Linked DNA regions of Saccharomyces cerevisiae S288C. The protein of the gene in region 1 interacts with the protein of each later gene in a biochemical or structural test. Each region holds a gene or a part of one and is shown in the gene's direction. Other genes may lie near its edges.

The links. Proteins that work in one complex are often made in the same cells at the same time.
Region 2: the proteins of UBP13 (region 1) and DUF1 form a complex in vitro, tested with the Saccharomyces cerevisiae proteins (one study listed by BioGRID).

Annotation. Positions count from the first base shown.
Region 1 is NC_001134.8:93,032-97,775, reverse strand, and holds UBP13 (ubiquitin-specific protease UBP13), read left to right. Parts: upstream 1-1,893; coding exon 1,894-4,137; downstream 4,138-4,744. Other genes in the region: SEF1 (Sef1p), read left to right, coding at 1-1,107; ribose phosphate diphosphokinase subunit PRS4, read right to left, coding at 4,382-4,744.
Region 2 is NC_001147.6:154,787-160,254, reverse strand, and holds DUF1 (Duf1p), read left to right. Parts: upstream 1-1,617; coding exon 1,618-4,968; downstream 4,969-5,468. Other genes in the region: alcohol dehydrogenase ADH1, read left to right, coding at 1-707; MHF1 (Mhf1p), read right to left, coding at 810-1,082. UniProt on the Saccharomyces cerevisiae protein: Ubiquitin-binding protein involved in the resistance to phenanthroline, sanguinarine, nordihydroguaiaretic acid (NDGA), isopropyl (N-3-chloro-phenyl)-carbamate (IPCPC) and guanosine 5'-O-(2-thiodiphosphate).

The DNA of each region.
Region 1 (4,744 bases):
GAGGCGAGAAGAAGGGAAATGGATCCCGAATATAACAAGCAAGCCTTAGAGAAAGCCGCTAAGAAAAGAAAATTTTCCTCAAATGGTATCTACAATGGCACTTCGTCTACGGGTGGCATAACGGACAGAAAACTATATCCATTGCCACTATATAACCATATCTCCAGAGATGACTTTGAAACTGTAACAAAAACAACACCAAGTGGAACCACTGTTACCACTTTAGTTCCTACTAAGAATGCCTTAAAGCAGGCAGAAAAGCTAGCCAAGACAAATAACGGAGATTCTGACGGTTCTATAATGGAGATTAACGGGATACCTCTTTCCATGCTCGGGGAAACAGGCAGCGTAAAATTTCAAAGTTTATTCGCTAATACCTCGAATAGTAACGATTATAATAATAATAGGACGTTATTGGATGCGTCTAATGACATATCAATTCCCTCTAATTCAATTTATCCAGTGGCTTCTGTCCCCGCTTCGAATAACAATCCACAAAGTACTAAGGTAGACTATTATAGTAACGGACCTAGTGTAATTCCTGATCTCTCCATGAAAAGATCAGTAAGCACTCCCGTTAATCATTTTCCTGCGTCCGTTCCAGGGTTAAGGAACCACCCCGTTGGCAACTTATCTAATAATGTTACATTGGGAATAGACCACCCTATTCCAAGGGAGCACAGTAATTTACAAAATGTCACCATGAATTATAATAATCAATTCAGCAACGCCAACGCGATTGGAAGATCACAAAGTAGTATGTCCCATTCACGTACACCGATTGCTTCGAAGTCAAATAATATGACAGATTTGCATTCCGTCGTTTCCGACCCCGGCTCCTCTAAAAGCACGGCATATCCACCTCTGAGCTTGTTTTCCAAAAGTAATGATATCAATAGCAACAAAACGAACCAACGATTTTCTACGGGCACTAACACTGTAACTTCTTCTAACTTCCAAACCATCGATAATGAAAACAACGTGAAGACTCCTGGAAACAAACTAACGGATTTTTTTCAGCAACAAAGTGCAGGCTGGATTGAAGGCAACTCCAGTAATGATGACTTTTTTGGTTGGTTCGATATGAACATGGAACAAGGTTTTTAACGCCTATATTCTTCTAATATTCTAAGAAATATTATTACCCTTGTTTTCTGCTAATTTATTAAAGAAAATTTGCAAAGACGGCTACATAGGACTTCGAGTCCTTTTATTTATACATATTCTTTTTCGGATTATTTCCAATGTAACAATATTCAAGAATGGATCAACTTAAGGATTATTTATCAGTTTGTTATCACGACCTCCCTCCTTTGTAAAATGATGACCACACCAAAGTAGAATATTTATTCACTACCTATTTATTTTATTCTTATTAATATTTTATATATCATGCATTTATCCGTGTGCATTTACCAAAATTCATGAGTAACGATAACGCTTCTTATAGGTATCTATCTATTCCCATTCCGGTAACTTTTTTTTTTTCTCCAACGCTCAGTCCTTGCTTCTTTATCCCTATTCGTTTGGAGACGGTCGTCAATTTTAGCGGAAGGCTGAAAAATACATCGATCCGAAAGTGTTGAACATAGAGATGAGGCAAGATAACTATAAAGATAAAGAACCCAAAGAACGTAATTGAACTATTGTGTGAAAGAAGGTCGACAACAGCAAAGGAATCAATAGAGTTTTTCTTTGGTTTTCAAATTGATTTTTTTTCACCTGTTCATTTTTTTTTTTTCCATTTGGATAATATTATTATTGCCTATACCAGATCTTACCCTTTGACTGTTCAACTCATCAAGCTTTATTTGTTGAAGGGGCCAAATTCGGCTTTAGTAAGGATCCAGTACTTTCATTAACATACTAAACCCACGCAAGAAGGGCGCAATCATGATCAGAAGATGGCTAACTATAAGTAAGTCTGGGAAGAAGAAAAAGGCTGTTAATGATACCATTACAGAAGAAGTAGAAAAGGTTGACTTTAAGCCTGTAAACCACGATATAAATGATGAACTCTGTTATAGCGAATCATCCGATAATCCCTCTAGCTCATTGTTTGTCTCTAATTTGGATACCAAGGAAACTTTTTTGAATGAAGACAATAATTTGCAGATTTCTTCCGGACTAGACTATTCTTCTGAAACGTGCAATCAAGGCAGTAATTACAGCCAGGATGGGATATTTTATATTTCAAACGCAAAGGCTATAAACGCATACGGAGGCATTATCACGCAAGGGCCCGAGGCACCCATATTAGCTATGAAGGTGTCCGACTCAATGCCCTATGGAGACGGCTCCAACAAAGTTTTTGGATACGAAAATTTTGGCAATACATGTTACTGTAACTCAGTTCTTCAATGTCTCTATAATCTGTCCTCATTACGTGAAAATATATTGCAATTTCCAAAAAAATCAAGAGAATCTGATCAACCAAGAAAGAAAGAAATGAGAGGTAAGAAACCAAGAATATTTACCGAAGCAAGTTTTGAGAAAAGCATTGCTGGTACCAATGGACATTTGCCTAACCCTAAACCTCAATCTGTTGATGATGGAAAGCCTACCCCTGTAAATTCTGTAAATTCAAATACAGCTGGGCCTTCAGAGAAGAAGAGTAAATTTTTTAAAAGTTTTAGCGCGAAACATGTACAAGACAATAATAAAAAGGAAGGAAGTCCTGCTATATTAACCACTGGAAAACCCTCTTCTCGTCCTCAAGACGCACCTCCATTGATAGTCGAAACACCTAATGAGCCTGGTGCTCCGAGCAGATTGAGTTTCGAGAACGTCACAGATAGACCTCCGGATGTTCCGCGTAAAATAATTGTTGGCAGAGTTCTCAATTATGAAAATCCTTCAAGAGGTAGCAGTAATAGTAATAACCTGGACTTGAAAGGAGAAAGTAATAGCAGCTTATCCACTCCACTTGATAAAAAAGATACTAGAAGATCTAGTTCCTCTTCTCAAATATCCCCAGAACATAGAAAGAAATCCGCACTTATTCGTGGGCCAGTGCTCAATATTGACCATAGCTTAAACGGCTCAGATAAGGCTACTTTGTATTCCAGTTTGAGAGATATCTTTGAATGCATAACTGAGAATACGTATTTAACTGGTGTTGTATCGCCTAGCTCTTTTGTTGATGTTCTCAAAAGAGAAAATGTATTATTTAATACTACTATGCATCAGGATGCTCACGAATTTTTCAATTTCTTATTAAACGAGTTGAGTGAATATATAGAACGTGAGAATAAAAAAATAGCAGCCAGTGATATCAACAGCGATAGCGAACCGAGTAAGAGTAAAAATTTCATCAGTGACTTGTTTCAAGGCACTTTAACGAATCAAATAAAATGTCTGACGTGCGATAACATTACATCTAGGGATGAGCCATTTTTGGATTTCCCCATAGAAGTTCAGGGAGATGAGGAAACAGATATACAGGAAATTTTGAAAAGTTATCACCAGCGAGAAATGCTAAATGGCTCAAACAAGTTTTATTGTGACGAATGTTGCGGTTTACAGGAGGCAGAGAGATTAGTTGGTTTGAAGCAATTGCCTGATACTTTAACATTACACTTGAAAAGATTCAAGTATTCTGAGAAACAAAACTGTAATATTAAGCTTTTTAATAACATTCACTATCCTCTGACGCTAAATGTTTGCTCTTCAATAAATTCTAAGGTTTGTCAAAAGTATGAATTGGCTGGGATTGTCGTTCATATGGGCGGTGGGCCACAACACGGCCATTATGTTTCCCTATGTAAACATGAAAAGTTTGGCTGGTTGTTATTTGATGACGAAACGGTAGAGGCAGTTAAAGAGGAAACAGTGTTAGAATTCACAGGTGAATCTCCAAATATGGCAACAGCATATGTTTTGTTTTATAAAGCGATGTATTCAAACGCTGTTGAAAAGAATGATCGTGAAAATATGGCAAAAGAACAAGATGATAATATAGACAATCTAATCAAGTACGATGATTGGCTAAGAACTTGCAATAGTGGTCAAAAGAAAAAGGAAGAGCTGCCTATAGCAGACGATTTGGATACTGCTATAGACGACAGCTTTGTTTCTAACACACCCATAAAGTCTTCTAAAAAAAAGTCGAGAATGTTTAGTTTTAGGAAAAGCTGAAAAATATTTGCATATCAAGGAAGGTAAAGGTTCACCGTCTCCTTTAAAACTATTTTTTCTCTGACAGTATTAATTTAATTCTTACATAAATATAATATCTTTAATCTTCTTTTTTTAAACCGGCTCCGGAACCTTTTTCTTAAATTTATAGTTTTGTCTCAGTAAAAGGTTTTCTTTTAAACTAATACAATTATGAAGTATTTAGGCATGCAAGCAATCAGGAATCTAAGAATAAAAAATTGTCCTATACTGGAGCATGGGTGAACAAATATGACACGGATTCACCATTGTGTAGTCTTCTTATAGCTTCAGCGAACGTGGGACTAATATCGATCTGGTCAGCAATAGGTAAATCCAAATCTACCGGAACGGTATTTGTGCAAACAATTCTAGACAATCTACTATTTCTTAGCTTTTCTCTTGCTGAACCGGAGAAAATACCGTGTGTAACAATAGCTATAACTTCTTTGGCACCATGCTCCATCAACGTATCACAAGCTTTTACCAACGTACCACAAGTATCCGCCATATCATCAACTAATAAACATGATTTATTGGTAACATCACCAACAAGCACCATTTTTGAAACCTCGTTAGCTTTTTGCCT
Region 2 (5,468 bases), on another chromosome or scaffold:
ACGCTGACTTGTCTGGTTACACCCACGACGGTTCTTTCCAACAATACGCTACCGCTGACGCTGTTCAAGCCGCTCACATTCCTCAAGGTACCGACTTGGCCCAAGTCGCCCCCATCTTGTGTGCTGGTATCACCGTCTACAAGGCTTTGAAGTCTGCTAACTTGATGGCCGGTCACTGGGTTGCTATCTCCGGTGCTGCTGGTGGTCTAGGTTCTTTGGCTGTTCAATACGCCAAGGCTATGGGTTACAGAGTCTTGGGTATTGACGGTGGTGAAGGTAAGGAAGAATTATTCAGATCCATCGGTGGTGAAGTCTTCATTGACTTCACTAAGGAAAAGGACATTGTCGGTGCTGTTCTAAAGGCCACTGACGGTGGTGCTCACGGTGTCATCAACGTTTCCGTTTCCGAAGCCGCTATTGAAGCTTCTACCAGATACGTTAGAGCTAACGGTACCACCGTTTTGGTCGGTATGCCAGCTGGTGCCAAGTGTTGTTCTGATGTCTTCAACCAAGTCGTCAAGTCCATCTCTATTGTTGGTTCTTACGTCGGTAACAGAGCTGACACCAGAGAAGCTTTGGACTTCTTCGCCAGAGGTTTGGTCAAGTCTCCAATCAAGGTTGTCGGCTTGTCTACCTTGCCAGAAATTTACGAAAAGATGGAAAAGGGTCAAATCGTTGGTAGATACGTTGTTGACACTTCTAAATAAGCGAATTTCTTATGATTTATGATTTTTATTATTAAATAAGTTATAAAAAAAATAAGTGTATACAAATTTTAAAGTGACTCTTAGGTTTTAAAACGAAAATTCTTATTCTTGAGTAACTCTTTCCTGTAGGTCAGGTTGCTTTCTCAGGTATAGCATGAGGTCGCTCTTATTGACCACACCTCTACCGGCATGCCGAGCAAATGCCTGCAAATCGCTCCCCATTTCACCCAATTGTAGATATGCTAACTCCAGCAATGAGTTGATGAATCTCGGTGTGTATTTTATGTCCTCAGAGGACAACACCTGTTGTAATCGTTCTTCCACACGGATCCACAGCCTAGCCTTCAGTTGGGCTCTATCTTCATCGTCATTCATTGCATCTACTAGCCCCTTACCTGAGCTTCAAGACGTTATATCGCTTTTATGTATCATGATCTTATCTTGAGATATGAATACATAAATATATTTACTCAAGTGTATACGTGCATGCTTTTTTTACGGCAGCATTTTTTTTTCAACTCTGATCGCCCCTTTACTGCTCCCTCCGCCCAAATTCCATTGCAGTTCAAATGTATACTGAAAAAAACCCCATTGCTATTGTTAAACAGTGAACTCTCTTTTTGCCCAATAATAACATTATAACAAGTAACTACCAGCACCATAACACCGTGTCCTATCCTGGTATTAATTACTACTTGAAGAACGACTACATCGCTTTTTGCAACTACAATTAGAACGCTCCGCCCCTTCCTTTTGACGTCGTATAAGTGTAGTTGGATTGCAATTGCATAGATACAGGAATTAGTTCAAGCCATTCCTAACGAGGAAACGATACATTCTAGCAAATCTACGCTTTTCTGACTTTAGAAGAGCAAGCCAATAAAAAGCCGGAGAAAATAGAAAGGTAATAATGAATCAGTTGACAGTGAGTTATGGCCTAATTTCCCCAGATTACTGCACTTCCCAAGATGCGCACATCTTACCGATAACAAAGATTCTGTACCCGGATATACCTGGTAAAAACTATTTTCTTACTTCAGGAAGGGATGGTTCCATAATTTTGCACAAGAACACACAGCTCTCGAACGAGCCTGAGACTGCTGCAACTACCATAAAAAACGATGCGATAAGAATGCAAGTTCATAGCGATTGGGCAAGCGATCTAATACATGTTAATATGAAAAATTCAGACCCATCTGCAGGGGACACATTCATATCAGTAAGTCACGATTTTTCGATAGTATTAATTAGTGTGAATGCGCAGTTAACTACCTGGGATAAGAAAATAATCGGTGACCACGACGATTATATCAAGTGCATAGTGCCCATACATTATGAAATGTCAAATGACTATGAATTGGAAGAACAAGAGGGTGGTCCTGATAATGTACACGATGGAATAAATAATGGCATTGTTGTTGATGAACAGAACAACTTTCTTTTTGTGACAGGTGGTCTAGATAGAAAAATCAAACTTTGGTGCCTGAGCAGCGGGCCAGAAAAAATGGCTACGCTACTACACACATTTGATAATGCACAATCAAACGACACAGGCTCAATATACTCCATGAGTCCCATCATCCCAAAATACAGTTTTGATGACAATCAAACGTCTCGTCCCTTTGATTTTGTTGCCGGAGACTGTAATGGTGATTTGATTTTTTATTCGTGTAAATATCGTAAGGAGGTGATAAGAATTCAAAACGCCCACAGAACAAATATAAAAGTAGTAAGAACTCTTGATGACTCCACACGACTAATCAGTACCAGCTCAGATGGTGTAATAAATGTATGGGACTTGAATTGTAGGCATGATCAGACTACTGGTGCCCTTCAGCTTCCCAAAAAAATTGGATCTTGGTCCTGGGATTCTTCCATATGGTGTGTCCAAGGAACGAGCCTTGATAAGTTGTATTTTGGTGACTCTCAGGGCAATGTTATGAGAGCAAACTTATCCAGTTATGAAGATGCTAAACTTACAAGAATTTTCAAGCCTGATCATCACCACCATCATCATCATCACCATGAACACGAAGAGCAAAATATATCAACTACAGATGCGAAAGTAAAAAAATATGGTGGTATCCTTGATATTGCCCTTTTACCTAATGAAAAATTGTTGTTTTCTTTTTGTACTGACTCAAATCTAAACGTGCTCGATTTAACTAATAACCATTTCAGTGTCAACGAAGGTGGGTTCGCACTGACCAGAAGCTCACTGCTAACCAACAGGAGGCATGTAATAACGGAAAACACTAAAGGCCAAATGCAGAGATGGGATATCGTTTCATGTGAGCTTTTGAATACTTTTGATTCATCAGAAGGTTCATTTGATGATATTGTAATGAAATACACCTCAAAGGAAATTCTATCTCATTGGTGTACTGTTTCCGTTAAGGTCGGTATGCTGTTCGTAAAAATAAACCCAAAATTTCTGAAAACTGAAGTTTATGGATCCGCGCTAAAGGATTATCAGGTTGTGAACAATATTGAAATTAACTCAGATGAGAGATATAATTTGGGTAAAATTGTTATTAATTCGCTTTTCAATGAGTTCATATCATATGAAGTCCAAAAGGATAAACTTTTAAGGAAGAAAATTTTTAGTTTGAAGAAAAAAGACTTAACCAATTCATTAACCTTGGATACGGGATATAACAGTGAATCAAAAAAGAATAATAAAGATAAAAAGAGAAAATCAACCTTCAAAATTAGTTCAACTCTGTCCATTGGAAATACCAACAGCAGTGGAACTCCACCAAATTCGGCACCTGCAACCCCGGTAATGGCAGAGACTATAGTATTAGAAGAACAACCATTGTTGCAGTCAGCTTCTGATAAAGCAATAGATGACTCTTTAGAACTCGTGCAACCATTGCCTGCATCCAAAAAGCCATATTTTAGAACGCAGAGCTCTGGCTCCTTGTTAAGTAGAAAGTTCAAATCATTTAGGTCTACTTCTGGTCGTGCCACAACAGGGTTAAACACTCCAGAGGAGCCCAAAGGAATTCTGCCAGATACTCCGCACGTTATTAATGATGACTCGGCCTTCCCTCAAGCTATCAATACAACTCAGCAGTCTAAGGATGCAACTCCAGAATCTATGTTATGGAATCATCCTTTCAAGCTAGAGCAAAAACTATCCGCTATTTCATCACAAGATTTACCGAGTAACAACACTCATAACAAACTAAGATCATCTGAAAACTCAAGGGCGAATTCCACGTCAACCTTGGAAGGCAACGAAAAGAAGAAGCCTGAGTTCATGCCCGATTTACTGGAGCAAATTCAAGAGTCTTACAAGCAACAATATATGAATACTTCTTCTCTAAAATACCTGACGAAGAGGCTTCCAGTCACCAAGATAATCAAGGCTAGTTCATGTCCAATTATTAGAGTAAAATCTGCCACGTTAGTTTTGGTCCATCTTTGGAAGGAAGGCTCATGTGGTGGCAGGGTATTATTTTCCACCCTATTACCGCCATCTCATGTCGATAATGAAACCGTCAGCGGCGGCAAAGAAAATTCCAAACCGCCAGATGATGAAGAAGTAGACCTTCAAGCTGTAGATGATGACAAATTAGGAAAATATGATCTTATTGATGGCGAGTTAGGAAGCAGACTCAACAGAAGGCAAATTTTTGAGCAATTGGAGGAAAATTTGCCCTACTGGTTTGCAAAAGCTTTATTTAGAGATATTAAGACGGTGGAAGAGCAACCAAAGTTGAACTTCTTAATCATGCCATGGTCTTCTGTTGGTGGGAGTGAGGCAGCTGGCAATGAAAACAAGAAGAAGTTTATTAGTGCATCAGATACCACAGAATCTTCTGGCAACGATAGTAGCGATAGCAGCCTTGGAAATGGTAATGAAGCCGTTTCCCCATCAACACAGCAACAGTTCCATAATATGCTAAAGTTTGGCCGTCCGAAGACCAGCGAGCAGGAGTTAAACCCCACAGATTTACCGAGAATCTCTGAGGCGAATGTCAAGCTGGTTGCGCCTGGAATGATTAGGGTGAAAAAAATTAAACTTTACGTCGCTGACAGATTTGAAACGAAAACTCCTGAAATGAAAGCAAAAATGGAACCTAGTCTTTGGTTGGATCTACTATGTAGGGGCCAAGTGCTTGATAACGATATGACTTTAAATACCGTTAGAACACTTTACTGGAAATCTCAGGGTGACATAGTTCTAGAATACAGAAGAAAAGTACATAATTCACCGCTAGTTCATGAGGTCAACGGGAATGAGGGGAAATGATAATGTTTATTTAAATTATATTTTGGGGTCTGAATTTGGAGTTTTTAAGCGTAAATATATAGTAACAATACCAACAATAATACTAATAATACTATAATAGTAGTTGCAGTAACAATGACAAGATAAAGAATATTCTTCTGAAATGTCTAAAGAACGAAGAAAAAAGCAAGTACTCATTGGAATGCTATGTGTAACAACTCATACATACTCTAGAGCTTTATAATAATTACATAGACATTTTTATAATATTATTTATTTATCAAATTTTATATTGAATAGGTACCATCAAGTTATGCACACATTCTTCATTAAAATACAGTCTGTAAATAATTGTGAATATGGGCGACCTGAATGATGTTCTTATTATCTCAAATATTTCTAATTTTTTTTAATCATTTTTGTTTCTTTAAGAGCAATTAATTTACAGAGCGGGGAACAGTGGCCAATTTTTTGAGCTAAAGAACAGCATAACAACAAAACAACAGAAAAAAAACACAGCG